Elephas maximus indicus: one gene and its partner. The protein of the gene in region 2 binds, or shares a complex with, the protein of the main gene of each other region. Links are inferred from orthologs where the notes say so. Each region holds a gene or a part of one and is shown on either strand. Other genes may lie near its edges.

Region 1 (9,442 bases), on a different chromosome or scaffold from region 2:
TGCGTGGAGTTGGAGGGAAGGAAGGATGAAAAAAATGATTGCCTAATGTTAGACCCCCTCTGAGGTCAGGCTTATCCTGTGTTTATTTTGCGTGGAGTTGGAGGGAAGGAAGGATGGTTGGTTGTAAATCCTACTCCAGAAGCTTAGATTCCACTGAGGAGTCTGAGCCCTGGAGAAGACCCCAGCGCCTGGGGAGCCAGTATGGCTGAATAATTTCTTAGATCTTGTAATTGCACTTAGTTGGGGCCTGTTGACACTGTGCTCTGCAATTAGCGGAAGCAGTCAGCAGGGAAAGAGCCCGCCTCACCTGGGAGGATGCCAGGGCTGCCAACCCAGACCTGTCCCAATATGGGAAAGGCTGGCCCGGGGTGACTTAAGCCAACCAGGAACTGGGCCTTCCCTAGGTCCCCCCTGGCTCAGCAGGAGATAGTCTTCAAGGGGATGCAGATCCATCCCGAAGCCTCCTTTCCCATGATCATCCAACATGGCTCCCTTTCCTCCTCCTCCCTGGGCCTGCTGAGACGTGGGGTCCGGTAGACTGGGCCTGCACTGGAAGAACCTACCTTCCACTTCTGTGTTCACCTGTGCTGTCAAGGAATCATCCACCTCACTCCAGACACTGGGGTTCCAGAGAGGGCACCCACCATGGGCGGCTCACTGAGGTATGAGGCCCCTGCACCTCCAGAGCTGGAGGAAGAAGCCGCCTAGGGCTCAGTCATCAGCCCCTTCCACATGTGTCCCCCCATACACACAGGCAGCCCTCCAGTTCCTGCTCTACACTTGCTGCCAGTGAGTGACCAGGGGCTCACTACCCCCAAGCCAGTCCTCTTTCCAGGCAGTTCTTATTGTTAGGAAGTCTTTCTCACCTTGTATCAAGCCCGAATCCCCTTACCCTCGTTGTTGTTGTGTGCCCTCCAGTCTATTCCGATTCATAGTGCCCTATATGGCAGAGTATAACTGTCCCATAGGGTTTCTTAGGCTGTAATCTTTATGGGAGCAGGTTGCCAGGTCTTTTCTCCTGCAGAGCGCCTGGTGGGTTTGATCTGCCGACCTTTCGGTTAGCAGTCAAGTGCTTAACAATTGCACCACCAGGGCTCTGCCTCCGCTATTCCAGTAAGGATGGGAGCTAGAGAAAAGACTAGAGCATGGTGTCTGCCCCCAAGGGCTGCCCTTTAGTATCCACCTTCATCCACATAAGGAGCCCTTTAGAGAAGTTTTGCTCCTCAGGCCAAGGACCTTCAGTCTGTCCTTCTTAACTTACCACATCATGTCTGGCTTTCTTTTCCCAACTGTCCCAAGCTGCACCTCTGACAGTGGGATTGGCTAAGCAGGGAGATCTTTGGGGGCAAGGAGAGCCCATTAACCAAGAGCTCCAGAACCATTGCTTCTCCAGTCACCCAGCTGCAGCCTACGCTTTCTTGCCTTCTTTACTGCCGATCTTTGCAAGGTTTGGGCACATCCAGGCACCCAGTCACCTCATTCTCCTTCTAGAAGCCCCTTGGCTCTCCACTCCCTCTAGAGCAAAGCCCAAGTCCCTCTTCTCCGCCTAAGCTTCCCCTCTGCCTCCTCACCTCCTGCCCCTTCTCCATAGGGCCAGCCCAGTTGGTTCCCAGTCCCTGTGCCCCCCCCCCCGGGTCTGCCCAGCCTACCCGCACTCCCATCCTCTGGAGCAGGTATCACGATTCCCATTTTATAGCCAAGGAAACGAGTCCAGGGAGGAGAAGGGCCTTTTTCCATGGCCCTCCATCCAATTAGTTTCGGAGTGGGCTCTTCAGAACGGGCCTTCCAATTCCCAGGCCAGTGGCCTTCCTCCTGCTCCACGCCGCGGCCCCCCAGATACACTACCCTATTCACGGTACTCCCTATTCATGGGACACTTCAGAATTCATCACCTGCATGTGGGAAACAGTGCCAAAGAAACAGAAAGCTTTCACCCTTTGTCATCCGGACTCAGGGGAAGAAAAAAAGGGAGCAAACAGGGGCACCTGCTTGAATGGTGTCTCCCTAAGCTCACAGTGGTTTCAAGGAGTTGAAAATACCTCATAAGAGGGCAGAATTTGGGGAGCAAGTAATAGTAAATGCTGTAACACCCTGCTCACTCAAAATGAGGTTTATTACATCATTCTGGGTAACCAAGTGGCACTACACTTGGCATGGGTGAAGGCACTCTTGCAACCACCGGGCTATGAGAACACAGTGCATGGGGTTGCAAAACTCCACCGACAAAGATGGGAAACAACCAGAATTGTCCAGTTTAAGACTAGAGTTAGGATAAGAATTTGGGCAACAAAGGATAAAACAGCTGTTGGCAGACAGTTTACACAGGGCCATTCCAAGAAGCTGAAATTCACTGACTTATGTGTAACACAAACTCAACATCATTCCTGAGGACCCGTTGAAGACTCCAAAGGCATTTTAGGGTTTATTATCTCTCATTATGAATATCATTTTGCTTTCTGCAGTGCTTCCAAACCAATTCTGTGATTAGATGCATTTGAGGTTGTCTGGCTACAGGATGAATGGGCAATTGGTCGACATTAGTTGGCACCCTCTGCTAGCCTTCCTGCCAAGAACGCACTGAGAATTCTGCAGATGTGGACTTCTGCTAAAGACAGAGGTTAGGTCTCAAGTGTCAAAACAAGTAAGACCACTTTTGAACACCTAGGAAAAAATGTTCCACCTTTCCTAAATATTCTGCTTTGTAATTCGAGACTTCTAAAGCCATGACCTGAGGGGCCCTGGTGACTATAAGACAATGACAAGGAGCAAGGAGTCCTGGTGGCCCAACTTTTCAGCTATCAGCTGCTAACTGAAAGGTTGGTGGTTCGAACCCACCCAGCAGCTCCATGGGAGAAAGACCTGGAGATCTGCTCCAGTAAAGATTACAGACTAGAAAACCCAATGGGGCAGTTCTACTTTGTCACACAGGGTCACTGTGAGTCGGAATCTACTTGACAGCAACCAACAACAAAAAACAATGAAATCCTGATCCAGTTTAACTGTTTCACCAAGAATGTTCCAAGTTGAAGGAAATGTAAGTGCTCAATGAGGAAGCATCTTAATTGTCATTCAGGAGTGGCACCTACCATCTTTCAGAAAGGATTTGAGGCTGCTTATGGTGAAAGACAGGAATACATAAGAACCATTACAGTAAAGGTCAAGAGACAAGAGTCGCGTAATGGAGAGCACCCAGGGTGGAAAATTTTGTCTAAAACCTAGAGTAGGGAACACGGCTGCAAGTGAACAAGAAAGTGAAAAACCAAAAAAAAAAAAAAAAAAACTGTTGCCATCAAGGCGATTCCGGCTCATTGCAACCCTATAGGACAGAGTCAAACTGTCCCATACAGTTTCCAAGGAGCACCTGGTGGATCCAAACTGCTGACCTCTCGGTTAGCAGCCATAGCTCTTAACCACTACGCCATCAGGGTTTCCAAGAAAGCAATATGTTATTAATTTCCAGGCAATTATGTTGAATCGGTTCTGAGTGATTGATGAGCAGTATTGATTTGCACGTCCACTTGTTTCCTCTCAGATCCTTGGAAGAACCTTGCCATTAACAAGAGAATCTAGCCCCCAAAGCCTGCCTGTACACCCCTGAAGGTGCATTGATACCTCCCTTACCTCCAACAGTTGCTTGGAACATGCTCACCTGCTGCTTCTCCATGGGTTAAGGCGCCACAGCATCCAAGATGACTTCAAAATGGCACCAACCATTGAAAGCATGTGCCAGAGCCCCGGACAAGGGGTTATTTTATCTAGAGAGGGGCCCAAATGCACTCACCAGTCCGTGGTCAAAGAGGATGGTGCGGAGGGCCTCTTTGAGTTGGCTTTTCTGAGTTGGTGAGAACATCAACTTTTCTTGCCCCCAACCAGCCTAGCCCCCAGGGCCACCCTCTCTCACCTCTGATGTGGCAGGTCTCCCTCTGCTATGAGGCACTGCTCCAGTCCCACAGGCTTGAGCTCAGCGTTTGCTCCGGCAGCTGCATGGCACTCCCATCATTTATACCTTCATTTTCCCAAGCTTTGTCAGCGTCAGAGAATCAATTACCTACAAGTCAACCGAAGGACCAATTTTAGCATCACACTGACAAAACCCTAATAGGGGAAAGAGGTTTTGCCCCTTGCAAATTAGATGTGTACTGAGCTTCCCCTTTATCTTTGAGGAGGGTGAACAGAGTACAAAGTTGTACTATTATTCTGGGAGGAGTAGAGAGTATAATAGTGCTGCTCTAATAATTGGAGTACTTACAACAATGAAACACCAAGGATTCATCTCTTCTCTGAGACAAACGTGCCTGTTAAATTTTTCATATAGTTTTGTGTTGTCCGGGTGTAACTTTATTTCACTTTAGGGTGGGAAACTTTACCAATAAGTGTTTTTCTCTCCTTAGTGAGGAAAGTTTATTGCTATCTCCCTTGTCATCCAATTATCGAGATTTTCTCCCCTTAGTGTTTTTCTCTCCTTAGTGAGGAAAGTTGATTGCTGTCTCCCTTGTCATCCAATTATCAAGATTTTCCTCCATTTCATTTGTTCCTGCTGCAGTCACAGGCTGGTTTAGGCAGCTAGCCCGAGGTATGTATCATGATACATCAAACAACCCAGCATCGGCTCTTGCCTCAGAGACGCTTGAAGTGAAAGGAAAGAGATGAGAAGCCTTAGGAGAGTTGTGTTTCCAGACATCTCTAGCCTGTAGCTGAGGAATCTTCAAAGAATGACATAAAGGAGTGGCAAGGCAGATGCGCTGATTTACCATTCAGTTGTTGTGGAGGCGTGGAAAGAGCTCCAAACCATGAGTCCAGACACTGGCTGCCTCCCCGCCCCGGGCCTGTCCTTCACGACTTCTGTAACCCTCAGCAAGTGACTTCACCCCTCCAGGCCTCAGTTTCTTTACCTGGGAACTCAAGAGTTGGCTCAGAGCAGCAGCTTCCAAACTTTTTTTAAGAACTGGCATAACTTTTTCCTCAGAAATCTTCTGTGGAAGTGCAGTATACAAAACAGATGAAAAATGTGGCTGTGCTGGTTGAAGAAGGGGGAGCACAGACCCCCTTTGCTTGCCCCCGGGACAATGAAACTACTGAAACTACCAGAAGTTTCCAAGGGCCCATCTAGCAATGATATTTTGTGATTTCTGCTGCTTAGCCTGTGCAGAGTGATGCTCTTGGCAGAGAACACACATCAAATGCTCCCCAGAAAAGCAGGGACTGAGTAGCATGTCAGCCTGCTGGCATCGACATGAAGTGGCCAAATTAGGCCACATCCAGAGATTCAGAGTGGGCTGATGGAACACAGCAGCAGGTGGCAGATGGAGTAGTTGGGAACCCCAAGGGCAATGGGTCATTGCGCAGACAAGAGGATGAGAGGTTACCCCAGAAAATGCACACTGGGAACCGCGTAGAACTGGATGCTGAGCCACAGCGCAGGTGCAGGACACATGGCGTTGGCTGGAGAAGCCATAGGGATCAGGATTCAACCCCAGTGGATGATTTGTGCCAGACACTGCACTAAGGAATTCATGCCTGATATTGGTTTCTTTGTCTTACGTAAAATGGGAGTGATAGAGCTCAAGTCATGAGGCTGTTGGGTGAGGATTAAATGTGCCAGTGCACAGAGCACAGGCCTGGCATAGGGTAAGCCTCACAAACGAGCTATTGCCATTGCTATTGTTGTTACAAATGAGGAAACAGAGGCACAGAGATGCTGCACACTCACCCACAGTCACAGAGCTGATCAGTAGTAGAGCCAGGACTCAAACAAAAGTTTTCTGACTCCCAAATTCAGTGCCCCATGCCAAGATGATGTTCTCCTAAGACCCTTCCTTGGTCCCACCTTTCTTTTTTGTCAAGAATTTTATCAGTTTTATTGAAGAGTAATTCACATACCACAAAACTCACCTCTTTTAAGCCTACAATTAAATGAGTTTTCATAAATTTATACAGTTATGTAACCATCACCACAATCCTGTTTTACTATCAATTCCTATTCCCAACTCAAGCCCCAGGCAAGCACAGATCAGTTTTCTGAAAGTTCATATAAATGGAAGCATACAACATTTGTTCTTTGGTGTCAGACTTTTTTCACTCAGCATAATACTTTCGAGATTCATCCATGTTATTCCGTGTTTCTCTAGCTTGTTCCTTTTTATTGCTGGGTAATATTTTATTATATGGATGTATCACAGTTTGTTTATCCTTTCACCTGTTAATGGGCATTTAGATTGATTCCAGCTTTGGACCATTACGAATAATGCTGCTACGAACATTTGTGTACAAGACTTTGTGTGAATGTATGTTTTCACTGCTTTTGGGTAGGTACCTGGGAGTAGAATTGCTGGCTCATATGAAAATCCTGGTGGCACAGTGGTTAAGAGCTTGGCTATTAACCAAAAGGTCAGCAGTTCGAATCTACGTGCCACTCCTTGGAAACCCTATGGGGGCAGTTCTACCCTGTCGTATAGGGTCAGTACGAGTGGAAATCGACTTGGCGGCAATGTTTTTTTAATGAAAATCCTGGGTGGTATAAATGGTTAACACATTTGGCTGCTAACTGAAAGTTTGGCTGTTTGAATCCACCCAGAGGTACGTCGGAAGAAAGACTTGATCTGCTTCTAAAAAATCAGCCGTTGAAACCCTATGGAGCGCAGTTCTACTCTGACACACATGGGGTCACCACAAGATGGAATCAACTCAACGGCAGCTGGTTTTTCAGTTTTATGGTAGGTGTACATTTACCTTTTTAAACTATTTCCCAAAGAGGCCGTACCATTTACATTCCCACCAGCAGTGATGGAGGAGGCTCCCCAGCAATTCGTGAGCTCTTAAAGAAGCATTTATTTCCTCATCCTACAAACACTTATTAAGCACCTAACAAGGTCCAAATGGAGTTCACGGGATTCACTGTCACTGAAAGACCTGGTTCCTTCTCTGCCTTTTAGGAGAGTGGGGCAGGCCTTTCCCCCCTGCTGGGAGGAAAGCACAGCGTGTGGACACAGTTCTTGTCTTCAGAGAGCTTCTGGAGGCAGGCAGACAGGAAGCTGGGCAACGATCCCAGCCGGTAGAGCCAAAGGAAGACACACCATACATGCTCCGAGACCTGAGAGAAGGGAGAAGTCACGCAAAGCTGGGAGGGCATCAGACAGGAGGGGAGAGAAGCAGCTGGGCCTGAAAAAGGAGCAAAGGCTTAGGTGGCAAATGGATTTGGATTTGAAACCCATTTACAAGCAGTGTGATTCTGGGCAACGTGCTTGATCTTTATGAGCCTCGGTTATCTCATCTGTACAATGGAGGTTGTAAAAATAATCAAAGCACAAAGAAATGAAAACATAAGGTTTATTTGGGCAGTTAATTGGTATGCATATGGGGAAAACCTGTTCAGAGAAGCCGAGGTTTCTTCTTAGGCCTGTTACAATGAGTTTTAGGGAAAGAAAGTAAACACAAGGTAGAATATTAACTGTTGTCTAACTTTACCATAAATTCAATCAAGCTTTCTTTCCTTCCTGAGATTGCCAGGTGGACTTTGTGACCTAGCTGAGGTATCTCAATTACTCAGGAAACTCCAAAGGTTTAAAATTGTCTTTTCAGAAAACAAGGGCAAAGACTAGTTTAATCTTCAGTGAAGTTAAATTCTTTGCACAGAGGGGGTCTGGGATTTTATGATCAGCCTGTCTCCTTGTTAGTGGTCAGGGTGCATTCCACATGGGTCAGTGACCTCTGTTAAATTTCCTATGTACTCAGAGGAGTCTATTGATTTGGAGCCTCCATTTCCCTTCTTATTAACAGTGTGGTAATACCTACCTCCCCGGGTTGTTGTAAGGATCAGAGATATGCTTGTCAAGTGCCTGATACATAGGTTCTTGGCCAAGGGTAGCTGTTGTTATAATTCTTATTATCAGAGCTGAACCCTGGATGCTGGCTGGGGTAGTGGCGGGGAAGAGCTGTGAGCTGTTTAGATGACAAGCTGTATTTGCAGTAGATTCTCAAACCCATGGAGGAAGAGGATGAAGGCAGGAAGCCAAGAAGAGCCAGTGTGCCCCATATGAGAGCCCAACCCCCTCCAGCAAATCCCACCGCCTGCATCTTCCTTGTCCTCTGAGAGCCAGTGAGAAGGCCTAGTTCCACACCCGGCTCTCTTTCCCAGGATGCGTTTTAACCCGGCGTTAATTAGCGATCGTGGCTGCATCTAGGAGCCAGGGGCTTGAGCTGTGGAAAGAAAGCACCCGAGAGAATGGCAGGCTTTAAGAGGCCCCAAAGAGCTGGGGCGGAGAGACTCAGCTGAGAAGGATACAAGCCGTGCATTTGTGTTGCAAATTTCCAGTGTGTTCCAGCCAGACATTCAAAGATGCTGAAGGGGGGGTTGGGGTGGGGAGGGGAGAGGAAGTCCACAAAAGGGGCCTGTCTGAGGGCCTCAGACCCTGCTTTGTAAAAGCTGCCTTCATCACCCTCCCTGGATTATGGCAGTGTTCCCAGCCCGAGACTACCGCGCAGGGAAGGGGGAAGCCTGGACTCTGGACTCCCAGATTCCCTTGACCCCTACTCTCTTCTAGGTTTGTTTCTATGGAGTCCTCAGCAGCAGATGTCACATGAGTGCTATGTCTGAGAGAGGGGACCAGGGTTTGAGTGTCGTGGCCTTGATGGGTAGGCTCAGGCAAAGTCGCTTGACTTCTTTGAGCCTCAGTTTCCTCTTCTAAAAAATGGGGCTGATGGAGTCTTTTCCCTTTATCTCACAATAGTCATGGCGTCTGTAAAACATTTGTCAACTATCAGGCAAGAGGATCTCCGATAAGATGGCAATTCAGAAGTTCATCTCTTTCCAGAAAAATCAGTGTTTGGGAAGGTCATTGTTGTTGTTGTGTGCCGTCAGAATAGCAACCCTATAGGACAGAGTAGGACTGCCCTGACAGGGTTTCCTAGGCTCTAATCTTTACGGGAGATCGACAGGTCATTCCTTCTAAGGAACCATTGGTAGCTGACCTTTCAGTTAGCAGTCAAGTGCTTAACCATTGTACCACCAGGGCTCCTTGAGAAGGTCACTAGAAGAGCTCTTTTAGTGAAGTAAAAAAAAAAAAAAAATCCGTTCCTGTCAAGTCGATTCCGACTCATAGCAACCCTATAGGACAGAGTAGAATTGCCCCACGGGGTTTACAAGGAGCGCCTGGTGGATTCGAACTGTCAAACTTTTGGTTAGCAGCCAAGCTCTTAACCGCTGCACCACCAGGGCACCAATGAGGGGGTAAAGTTGACTATATTTAGCGAATCAATTAAACAACCCTGGGTGGCTTGGAAATGTTATTCCCTTGAGTATTTTAAGTGCTGACCTTGCTTGGAATCTTTGGGCCTGCCCCAGCTCAATTATTATGAATGTTAACCAGGTGGGTTTTCTGGGTTGGTAGACTTGGTGTAGGTGCCAAGCTCACAGACACAAGGAGGTGGTAACGGCTGATTCTTC
Region 2 (9,463 bases):
GTCACATTCTGGGTGCACAAGACCCAGTGCCTGCAGGAAAGAGTTACGGGATGAGGCGAGCCCATCAGACGCTCCTTTAAGGTCCACTGGCCCAAATAACCTGAGCACAGAGAATTTCTGTGCCCCTAATCCTAATCACATGGCCTGGCTCACAGGACATATAAGATGTATTGGATGAATATTTGGGTAAATGTATGTATGGATAGCTGGGTGGATGGATGATGGGTGTGGGTGGATGGATGGATGGCTGGATGGATGGATGGATGGATGGATGGGTGGGTGGATGGATGGATGGCTGGGTGGATGGATGGGTGGGTGGATGGCTGGATGGATGGATGGGTGGGTGGGTGGGTGGGTGGATGGATGGATGGCTGGGTGGATGGCTGGGTGGATGGATGGATGGGTGGGTGGGTGGGTGGATGGATGGATGGGTGGGTGGATGGATGGCTGGGTGGATGGGTGGGCGGGTGGATGGGTGGGCGGGTGGATGGGTGGATGGATGGATGGGTGGGTGGATGGATGGATGGCTGGGTGGATGGGTGGGCGGGTGGATGGGTGGGTGGGTGGGTGGATGGATGGATGGATGGATAGACAGATAGACAGACAGATGATAAGTGAATAGAAACTTAGGAAGATTAATAAATGTATTGAATATGTTATGTGCACCACTTCAAAATTCTCTGGGGCTCTCCTCTTACTACAGCAACAACTGCAGTGCCCAGTAGTCTGCAAGGTCATCCATGTTGGACAGGTCTCAGCAGAGCTTCCAGACTAAGACAGACTAGGAAGAAAGGCCTGGTGATCTACTTCTGAAATTTTGCCCGTGAAGACCCTAAGGATTACAACAGATGAGCCCCCTAGGGTGGAAGACACTCCAAATACACAGTGGCCACAATAATGGACTCAAACATACCAACGATCATGAGGATGAAGCAGGATCATGAAACATTTCATTCTCTTTTACATGGGATTGCCATGAGTTGGAGCGAACTTGACAGCAACTAACAATGACAGTCTGGTTTGAAATACAGGTATCATGAAGAGTGCAGGGGGTGTGAGACAGGGGCTGAAACCAGAGTTGGGACGGTGGACAGTGAGTGACCACCCAGGAGGAATCCAAGGACCTTGCTACAGAGCTGTGGGCTAGGAGATGAGGAAGAGGCCCAACCCAGCAAGTGGGGCCACCCCTACCAGCCCTGTCACTGGAGAGGGGGCCACTCCAGTCCCCGATCTGCTGATCCCACTTTCCAAAACCCAGTTTGGGCTCAACTGCTCAATAGTTCTGCCATCTCCTGTGTAGTCCTGTGGGGCCTTAGGCTGCAGATGTCGCCGACCGTCCAGGCTCTGTGTCTCCATTTTGGTGGATGCCCAAACTGCTCTCGGTTTCCCTTCAAGACTCAGTGACCCCAGGCCTGTATGCGGCCCGGTCTCATCTGCCCAGAACATACTAAGCACAGGAATGCAGGAAGGTTTGGAGGCAGGCAAGCCTCATTGAGATGTTCTTATCCAGCAGCCTAGTTGTAACCCTGGGGTGTTTAGAGAGCCGTAGTCTCTGCCTGTCCTTCCTTTGTCACCAATCTGGGAGCCCCAGTCCTTCTGGGAACATATCAGAGCCTGTGTGGGGAGCCACTGAGGCCAGAGGGACTAGGGTATTGATGGGCAGCTTCCAACCAAGAAGAAGGAATGGCAGCCCCCACCAGGCAAATTAGCCAGGTAAGCACAATATACACCAGCTTGCATTGAGCAAGGTACACAAGCACTTAACTGTATTTACTTGCTAATTTGTGGTGAGGAATTTCACAGGTGAAATTGTGCACTGCAGATTGGTGGGAAGGCACAATTGGGCCCGTGCATACCTTGCTTATTGGGTAGTCCAGCCCTGGCCCCCACACTTCCTCAGGGAAGCAGGAAAATACTGGGAAGCCCAACTAATCACCCGGATGTGGGGACTCAGGGCCAGCTAAAAAGCAGTGACTGTCGGGGGAAGGGGACTGGGAAGGCGACCCAAAGGCTGTCTCAGTTCACCCCATCTCACATACTGAATCCCACTCTATCCCAAAGGCCCACTCCATCTTCCTCAACACTGGCCTCGCCTATGGAGAGTGGAGCCTTCCCTGGGAGACGCCAGCCTTGGCTGCTGAATGACCACCAGAGGGCCTCGGTTCCCCCTCCAAAGGTAAAGCTTTCAGTGTGGGGCTCGCACAGGTAAGAGGAATGAGGCTGCCCTCAGCCCAGATGAAGAGGGCATGGAAGCTCCATGCATGGCACCCTATGCCTAGCCCTTGACAAACCAGCTTTCACCGAAGGCACAACAACCCTGCAAGTAGGTAGCACTTTCATTCTTTACAAAAGCAGCAAGTTAGGCTCAGGAAGGGTGGAATTTACCCGGGGTCACACAGCTAGTTTGATGGGGCCAGGGTTCAAGCCGAGGCCTGTGTCTCTGGCATCAGGTGCAGCAAGGGTGCTGGGGGTGGCACCTCCCCCCCAACAAGCCAGGGGAACTGAGGCAACAGGGGAAAAGGAGGTCCCAGTCCATGTGGCTCTGAGGAGCTCCTGGGAGCTGGGGCTGCCCCACCCAGTACGTTGTGGCTACCCTCCTGGTCCCTGCTGTCACATGGTGGAACATCCTGGAAAATACGCAGGATAATTGCAGGACGTACAGAGGGGCCCCTCTGTCCTGCTGCCTATTCTCCAGCGTTCTAGGCCTCAGAGCAATATTTGGCACCAAACACTTCTCCAAGGCATATTGTGAGAGGAAAACCCAAAACCAAACCAAACCCACTGCCATGGAGGTGATTCTGACTCGTAGTGACTCTGAAGGACAGAGTAGAACTGCCCCATAAGGTTTCCAAGGCTGTAATCCTGTAATCTTTACAGAAGCAGACTGCCGCATCTTTCTCCCGCAGAGCACCTGGTGGGTTCAAACTGCCAACCTTTTGGTTAGTAGCCAAGCACTTTAACCACTGCGCCACCAGGGTTCCATTTTGTGAGAATGCCAGAGGGGAGCAGTTGGTTCTCCAAATACTACTCAGGCCCTACTCAGTCCTGGGGCCAGCTCTGGCCACGCACTCCTAGAGGGAAACATCAGAGCTGGAGCACAGTTCAAGGAGTCATGGGGAGACAGAGGGACCTGAAAACCTTATCAGAGGAGGAGTGCGTATAAGAAGTGGGGATGCATAGCTGAGAGGAGGCCCTGGGTGGTATAAACTTGTAACACACTCTGCTGCTAACTGAAAGGTTGAAGGCTCGAGTGCACCCAGAAGTGCCCTGGAAGAAAGGCCTGGCGAACTACTTGCAAAAAAAATCAGCCTGGAAAACCCTATGGCACACAGGTCTACTCCGACACGTATAGGGTCACCATGAGTTAGATTCAACTCAAGGGCAACTGGAAGCTGAGAGGAACAGGTAGCTTGGGATGTAAGGAGTTGGTGCTGACTTTGTCTCCCCAGTTCTGAGGCATACCTTGGGTGTGATGGCCCGGGCTTCCCAAGGTAGCATAGGCTGCCTGGACAAGGGAAGGACGGAGCCCCTGTGTCAGGAGTTCTCCAAGCCAGGGCCCGCACCTGCATGGTAGGGACCCCCGTGCTGGGTGTGGGCAGTGGAGTCTCGGCAGACTCCAGCTGGGCCCCCATCTGGCCGTTGGGCTCCAAGATCAGGAGCCCAGTGGGAGAGGCAGGAGGGTCTGAGCCAGGTACTCACGGTCGGTAAGAGGTTCAGCAAGCAGAGGATGGAAGCACCCCACAGCCGCCTGTCCATAGTGGGCTTAGCGTGGCTCCGTCAGCCTGGGGAGCCTCTGCCTTCTTTCCTCTCCCACCTTCTATCCTCTGCTGCTTCAGCTGCTGCCACCACCTCTGCCCCCCTTCCCAGGTGGCTGTTTGCATAGGCAGGAGCCAGCAAAGGGGACAGAACCAGCTGAATATTCACCAGGGCTGCAGGGCATCTTGTCCAACTCAGCCCTGGCCCTGAGGCTGGAACAAGGTATCCCCAGCAGGGAGAGGCTGAGCCCTCCACCCCTTCCACATCATCTGCAAGTCTGCCTGTGTGTTTGTCCTAATGACAAAGACCCAGAGAGGTGACATCCACAATTACCTTCCCTGACCCGGTTAGCCAATACTCTTAACCATTTTCTGTCTGAGCCCAATTCTCTGTTGGTCTACACAGTGGAGTTGTTATTGGTTGCCGCTGAGTTGGCCCCCAACTCATGGTGACCCCATGTGCAAGGGAAAAAAATGTTGCCCAGTCCTGCATTAAGCTCATGATTGGTTTCGGATCCAATTGTTACGATTTATAGAATTTTTATTGGCTTATTTTTGGAACTAGACCTCCAGGCCTTTCTTCCTTGTCTGTGTTACTCTGGAAGCTCCACTGAAATTTGTTCAGTGTCATAGCAACATGTAAGCCTCCAATAACAGATGGGTGGTGGCTGCACATAAGGTGAATTGGCCAGGAATCAAACTCCAGTCTCCTACATGGAAAGCAAGAATTCTACCACTGACCCACTGATGACCTCACACAGTGGAGAGACCACCCCCCTAAAAAATGAAAGGGCCTCAGAGAAGAGGAAGGAGACCTGGGCCTGCCTTCGGGGCGCCTCCAGGTTGGTTGGTGATCCCAGCCTCAGCCCTGGAGAGAGCTCAGAGCTGTGGGGACCCAGAAGACGTAGGAGCTGGGGGAGAGACAGCGGGGGCCAGAGGGGAAGAATAAGCTGAGAAAAGGAGGTGATCCGTACCTCCGGCATGGGCTGGCCAAGAAGAGTAAGAGCGGCAGGACCCCATTTCTTTCCCTCGCTAGGATGCCAGCCTGGATGGTGGGGTAAAGTCTGGAAATATCAAGGCTCTAGAACTCACATCACCATGAAAAGGCTTGTCTACCTGTCTCCCAGAAATCCTTGTGGTAGCAGGGAGAGTTGAGCCTTTAGGGGTCCCTCATGGAGCTAGGCCAGGCTGAATGGGGGTCCTCCAGTGCAGGAATGGGAGGGCTTGTACAGCCACTAGAATCATTTTGAGCCTTCATTGCCTGGTCTCTCTTTTTTTTTTTTTTGTAAAGATATGTATAACACAACATTTGCCAATTCAAGATTTTTCGTATATACAATTTACTGACACTAATTATGTTAGTAATGTGCAACTATCACCAATATCCATTGCCACATTTCACGATAACCAGAAACTCACTGCTTCCTAAACAATGACTCCCCTTCCCCCTCCCTCCTGCACCTCCCATTAAAAACCAACCCATGGCCACCCCATGTGATACAGAATAGAACGGCTCCCTTGGATTTTCTTGGCTGTAGTCTCTACAGAAGCAGACGGCCAGTCTTTTCTTCCACAGTGCCACTGGGTAGATTCGAGTCACCAACCTTTACACTGGTTGTTTTTGTTTTTGTTGTTGACTCATGGCAACCTCATGTGTGCAGAGTAGGACCGCTCCATAGGATTTTCAAGGCTGTGACCTTGCAGAAGCAGAGTGCCAGGCCTGACTTCCTTGGCACTTCTGGGTGGGTTCAAACCACCAGCCTTTGGGCTAGTAGTCAAGCGTGTAGCTGTTTTCACCATCAGATGAGTGCAAATCTTTTGCACCACTCAGGGACCCCTCCCACCCCGTAACCACTAATAAACTTTGGTCTCTATACATGTGCCTGTTCTAGATATTTCATATAAATGAGGTCATATGATATTTATCCTTTTGTGATAGATTTTCATCACTCAGCATAATGTTTTCAAGGTTCACTAATATTGTAGCATGTATCGGGACTTCATTTCTCTCTAATGCCTGACCATTTTTATCAGAGTTTTAGACTTTAAAATGCAGGATCCCAACCGGCCAGGCTGAAGACAGCACTCTAAATTACCCTGGGTCTTGCAAACATTTTTGGAATTTGAAAGAAGATTGTATCTTTGAGGGCACTGAACAACCCCGTGCCTGAGAAGACCCGATGTTTGTGTGCAGGTCTTTACTCACAGGTGGCGGGACTCGTTGCTCGTGACAGCGACATGTTTACAGCCTGACTCGCATCATAAATGATGCAGGATGCTTCGCCCCCGCCACATCTGGATCTAGGTATCTTTTTACAACAGCAGGGCTTTTGTTCTCTATTTTTATTCATTGCCAAAGAAGTGTTAAAAGCAAATATTTTGAGAAGAGCCACCCTCCAGCCCCTGACTCTCCTACCCTTGCCCCAGCGTTTCCACGTACCTGCTGTGAACACAGTGCAGGCTTGGCATGTTTTCAGGACGAGGCAGAGCCCCTCCACTGGCAGGCAGAGGGAGGCCCCACAGACTGGAAGCGCAGAAGGCTGAGAAGATGTAACTTAAAGGGAAGGGTAGAACCTTCTGACCCTCAGCTCCGAAGAGGCAACAACAACCCAAAGATACATATTACATAAATCACCACTGATAATTTGTACCATTAGCATTAATGATGATTAATAGCTGATATTGATAGTTACACTGAATAATAGAGTTGTCTAAGGTTTTTAAATGGGGATAATTTTGCCCCCCAGGGGACATTTAACAATGTCTAGAGACATTTTTCATTGTCAAGGCTGGGAGTGGGTAGGGTGAGGAGAGTGGCAAGTTCTACTGGTATGTAGTGCGTAGAGGTGACGGATGCTGCTAAACATCCGACAATGTATAGGGTGGTCTCCTTGCCACACACACACAAACACACACACACACAGAACTATCTGGTCCAAAACACAAACGGTGGCAAGGTTGAGAAATCCAGATCTAAGTGCAGGTGTTCCCTAGCTCTCTCCCCAAACCCATTTTCTATTGGAATAGCCAAGAGTTGCGGGACTCCCATCTCTAGCTCTCTCTATGTACTCTGGGTTCAAATTCTGCCTCCGTGACTTACTAGCTATGTGACCTTGGGCAAGTTACTTAACCTTTTTGAGTCTCAGCTTCCCCATTTGAAAAATGCAGGTGAGCATGACTTCAACTATAGAATACTGTGGAAACAGCAAAATTATAGCAATAGTGAGAAGATCGGTGGTTGGCAGAAGCTCAGTGAGAGCAGGGAGAGATGAATAGGTGAAGCACAGGGCATTTGGAGGGCAGTGAAACCATGATACTGTAACGGTGGACACATGACATTATACATTTGTCAAGACCCATAGGTCTGTAGAACACAAAGAGTGAACCCTAACGTAAACCATGGACTTTATTTAGTAATAACGTGTTGATATTGGCTCAACAATTGTACCAAATGCCCTGCACTAATGCAAGATGTTAGTAATAGGAGAGGCTGTGCAAGGGGGAGAGGGCATATGGGAACTTCTGTACTTTCTGCACAATTTTTCTGTAAACCTAACACTGCTCTTTAAAAAGTCTATTATAAAAAAATGAGGGTAATACTAGCACCTTTCTTGTGGAGCTGATGGCATATGTAGACAAGGAAAGGCATATAAAGCACCTTGCACAGGTCCTAGGTCACACGGACGACTATTAATGGGATTGTGCAACAAGGACAGACTAGCGACAAATAAGGCTGGAACAACAGATTCTTTGTATGGAAAAAATTAAGGTTAGCTTTATAGCTCACATTTACAAAACATCAATTCTAGAAAGTTTAAAATCCTAACTACAAAACAAAAAAATAATAGGTTATGTCAAGACTATAAATTTATTTTTATGATCTTAGAATAGATGAAATTTGTATAAAAAGTAAATAACCAAAAGGGAAGATTAATAAGTTTGACCATAAAAAACCATTGCTGTTGAGTCAACTCTCATAGTGACCCTATAGGGCAAAGCAGAACTGCCCCATAGGGTTTCCAAGGAGAAGCTGGTGGATTCGAACTGCCGACCTTTTGGTTAGCAGCCAAATGCTTAATCATTGCTCCATGGCAACATTAAAAGAATGTATGAGCAAGAAAGAACACATAGATAAGAACTAAAACAAGCTACGGACTGACAGAAATATTTGCAACAAACATTGCAGTAACTGTTACTATGGTGTCCCCTGGGTGATGCAAATAGTTAAGCATTCTACTACTAGCCGAAAAGTTGGTGTTCGAACCCACCTAGAGGCTACTCAAAAGACAAGTTAAATGATTGAATAAATAGGGACAAAGGAGAAGGGACAACTCTTCCTTACAGAAGAATTCCAATTAATAAAGGTTGATGGAATGAAAGATATTTGTTCACACAAAAGCTTGTACCCAAATGTTCACAGAACTTCATTCTTAACACTTCAAATGTTCGTTGCTGATGAAGGGGAAGAAAAATCACAGCCTATGCACAAAATGGAATACATGCATTGCCATCTAATCGATCCCGACTCATAGCGACACTATAGGACAGAGCACTGCCCCACAGGGTTTCCAAGGCTGTCATCTTTACAGAAGCAGACTGCCACATCTTTCTCCTGCAGAGCGTCTGGTGAGTTCCAATGGCCAGCCTTTCAATTAGCAGCCGAGTGCTTAATCACTGCGCTACCAGGGTTCCTCATACAAGGAGCTATTACTGATGCATACAACATGGATGAATGTCAAAAGCATTATGCTAAGTGAAGGAAGTCAGACTAAAAAAAACCTCTATACCGTACGATTCCATTTATATGAAATTTTAAGAAAGGTAAAACTGTGGCAAAAGAAAGCAGATCCCCAGGGTGAGGGTTGTGAATTGACTGCGAAGGAGCAGGGGAGAACTTCTGGGGGGTGACAGGAATATTCTGTATGAAGACCTTGGTGCTTACACTCCTCTGCCAAGCCGGTTGCTATAGAGCCAACTCTGACCCCTGGTGGTCCCATGTGTGTCAGAGTAGAACTGTCCTCGATAAGGTTTTCAAGGGCTAATTCTTTTTTTTAATTTTTTAGAAATAGATCCCCAGGTCTTTCTTCCAAGGTGAATCTGGGTGGACTTGAACTTCTAACCAAGCAGCTTTTAGCAACCAAGCATGCAGAAATTTATCTAACTGGATACATTAACTTTATTACATGCAAATGATTCCTCAATAAAGGTGATTTTATAGCATATGTATTTTAGTAGACAAAAGCAAATTGCAGATTTTTTTTTTTTAATCTATATGTGTGTATGCAGAAGTATTTCTTTAAGTCTGGAAGTTCCACATCAAAATCATAAAAATTGGGAAAAGAGGAAGAGACAGATGATGGGATATGGGGAATGATCAAATAGAACATTAGCTTTAACACTAATATTCTAATTTTTAAGAAAAATTCATTTATACACTCCTGGTACAATTAAAATTAAATTTAGAATACCACAGTGGCTGCTGCTAAGGTTTTTCCCTATTACCCAGCAGGTACCGGAGATATTGGTGTCCAGTCTATCTTCACCACAAGCGGGTGCGCTCCTTGAGGGCTGGGATAGCAGCTCCTCTGAGACAGCCCTGCCTGCCAGCCAGCATTAAGAACCCCCCAGGGCTCAGAACCCCAGAGGTTTCAGCCCTGGCCAGGGCTTTGAACCAGTTCAGTCCGGTTCAAACCTCTGCTGAGAATTTG

What was found.
Region 1: the proteins of GHRHR (region 2) and GHRH are in contact, whole or in part, in a cryo-EM structure (PDB 7CZ5), measured with the Homo sapiens proteins. The link is inferred for Elephas maximus indicus from reciprocal best matches to the Homo sapiens genes GHRHR and GHRH. Residues at the interface, in NP_000814.2 of Homo sapiens: Leu119, Ala120, Glu122, Glu123, Phe126, Ser127, Val129, Lys130, Tyr133, Val179, Lys182, Leu186, Phe187, Asp190, Thr192, Asp193, His194, Cys195, Phe197, His210, Thr213, Phe217, Ala271, Cys272, Asp274, Leu275, Asp276, Trp282, Ile285, Ile289; in NP_066567.1 of Homo sapiens: Tyr32, Ala33, Asp34, Ala35, Ile36, Phe37, Thr38, Asn39, Ser40, Tyr41, Arg42, Val44, Leu45, Gly46, Gln47, Leu48, Ser49, Ala50, Leu53.

What each region holds. Positions count from the first base shown.
Region 1 is NC_064843.1:32,291,254-32,300,695, reverse strand, and holds the start of GHRH (somatoliberin), read right to left. Parts: upstream 4,038-9,442; 5' UTR 3,902-4,037; intron 2,030-3,901; exon of another isoform or gene 1,986-2,029; intron 1,857-1,985; exon of another isoform or gene 1,650-1,856; intron 688-1,649; exon of another isoform or gene 564-687; intron 1-563. UniProt on the Homo sapiens protein: GRF is released by the hypothalamus and acts on the adenohypophyse to stimulate the secretion of growth hormone.
Region 2 is NC_064826.1:92,363,694-92,373,156, reverse strand, and holds the start of GHRHR (growth hormone-releasing hormone receptor), read right to left. Parts: upstream 3,757-9,463; coding exon 3,700-3,756; intron 31-3,699; coding exon 1-30.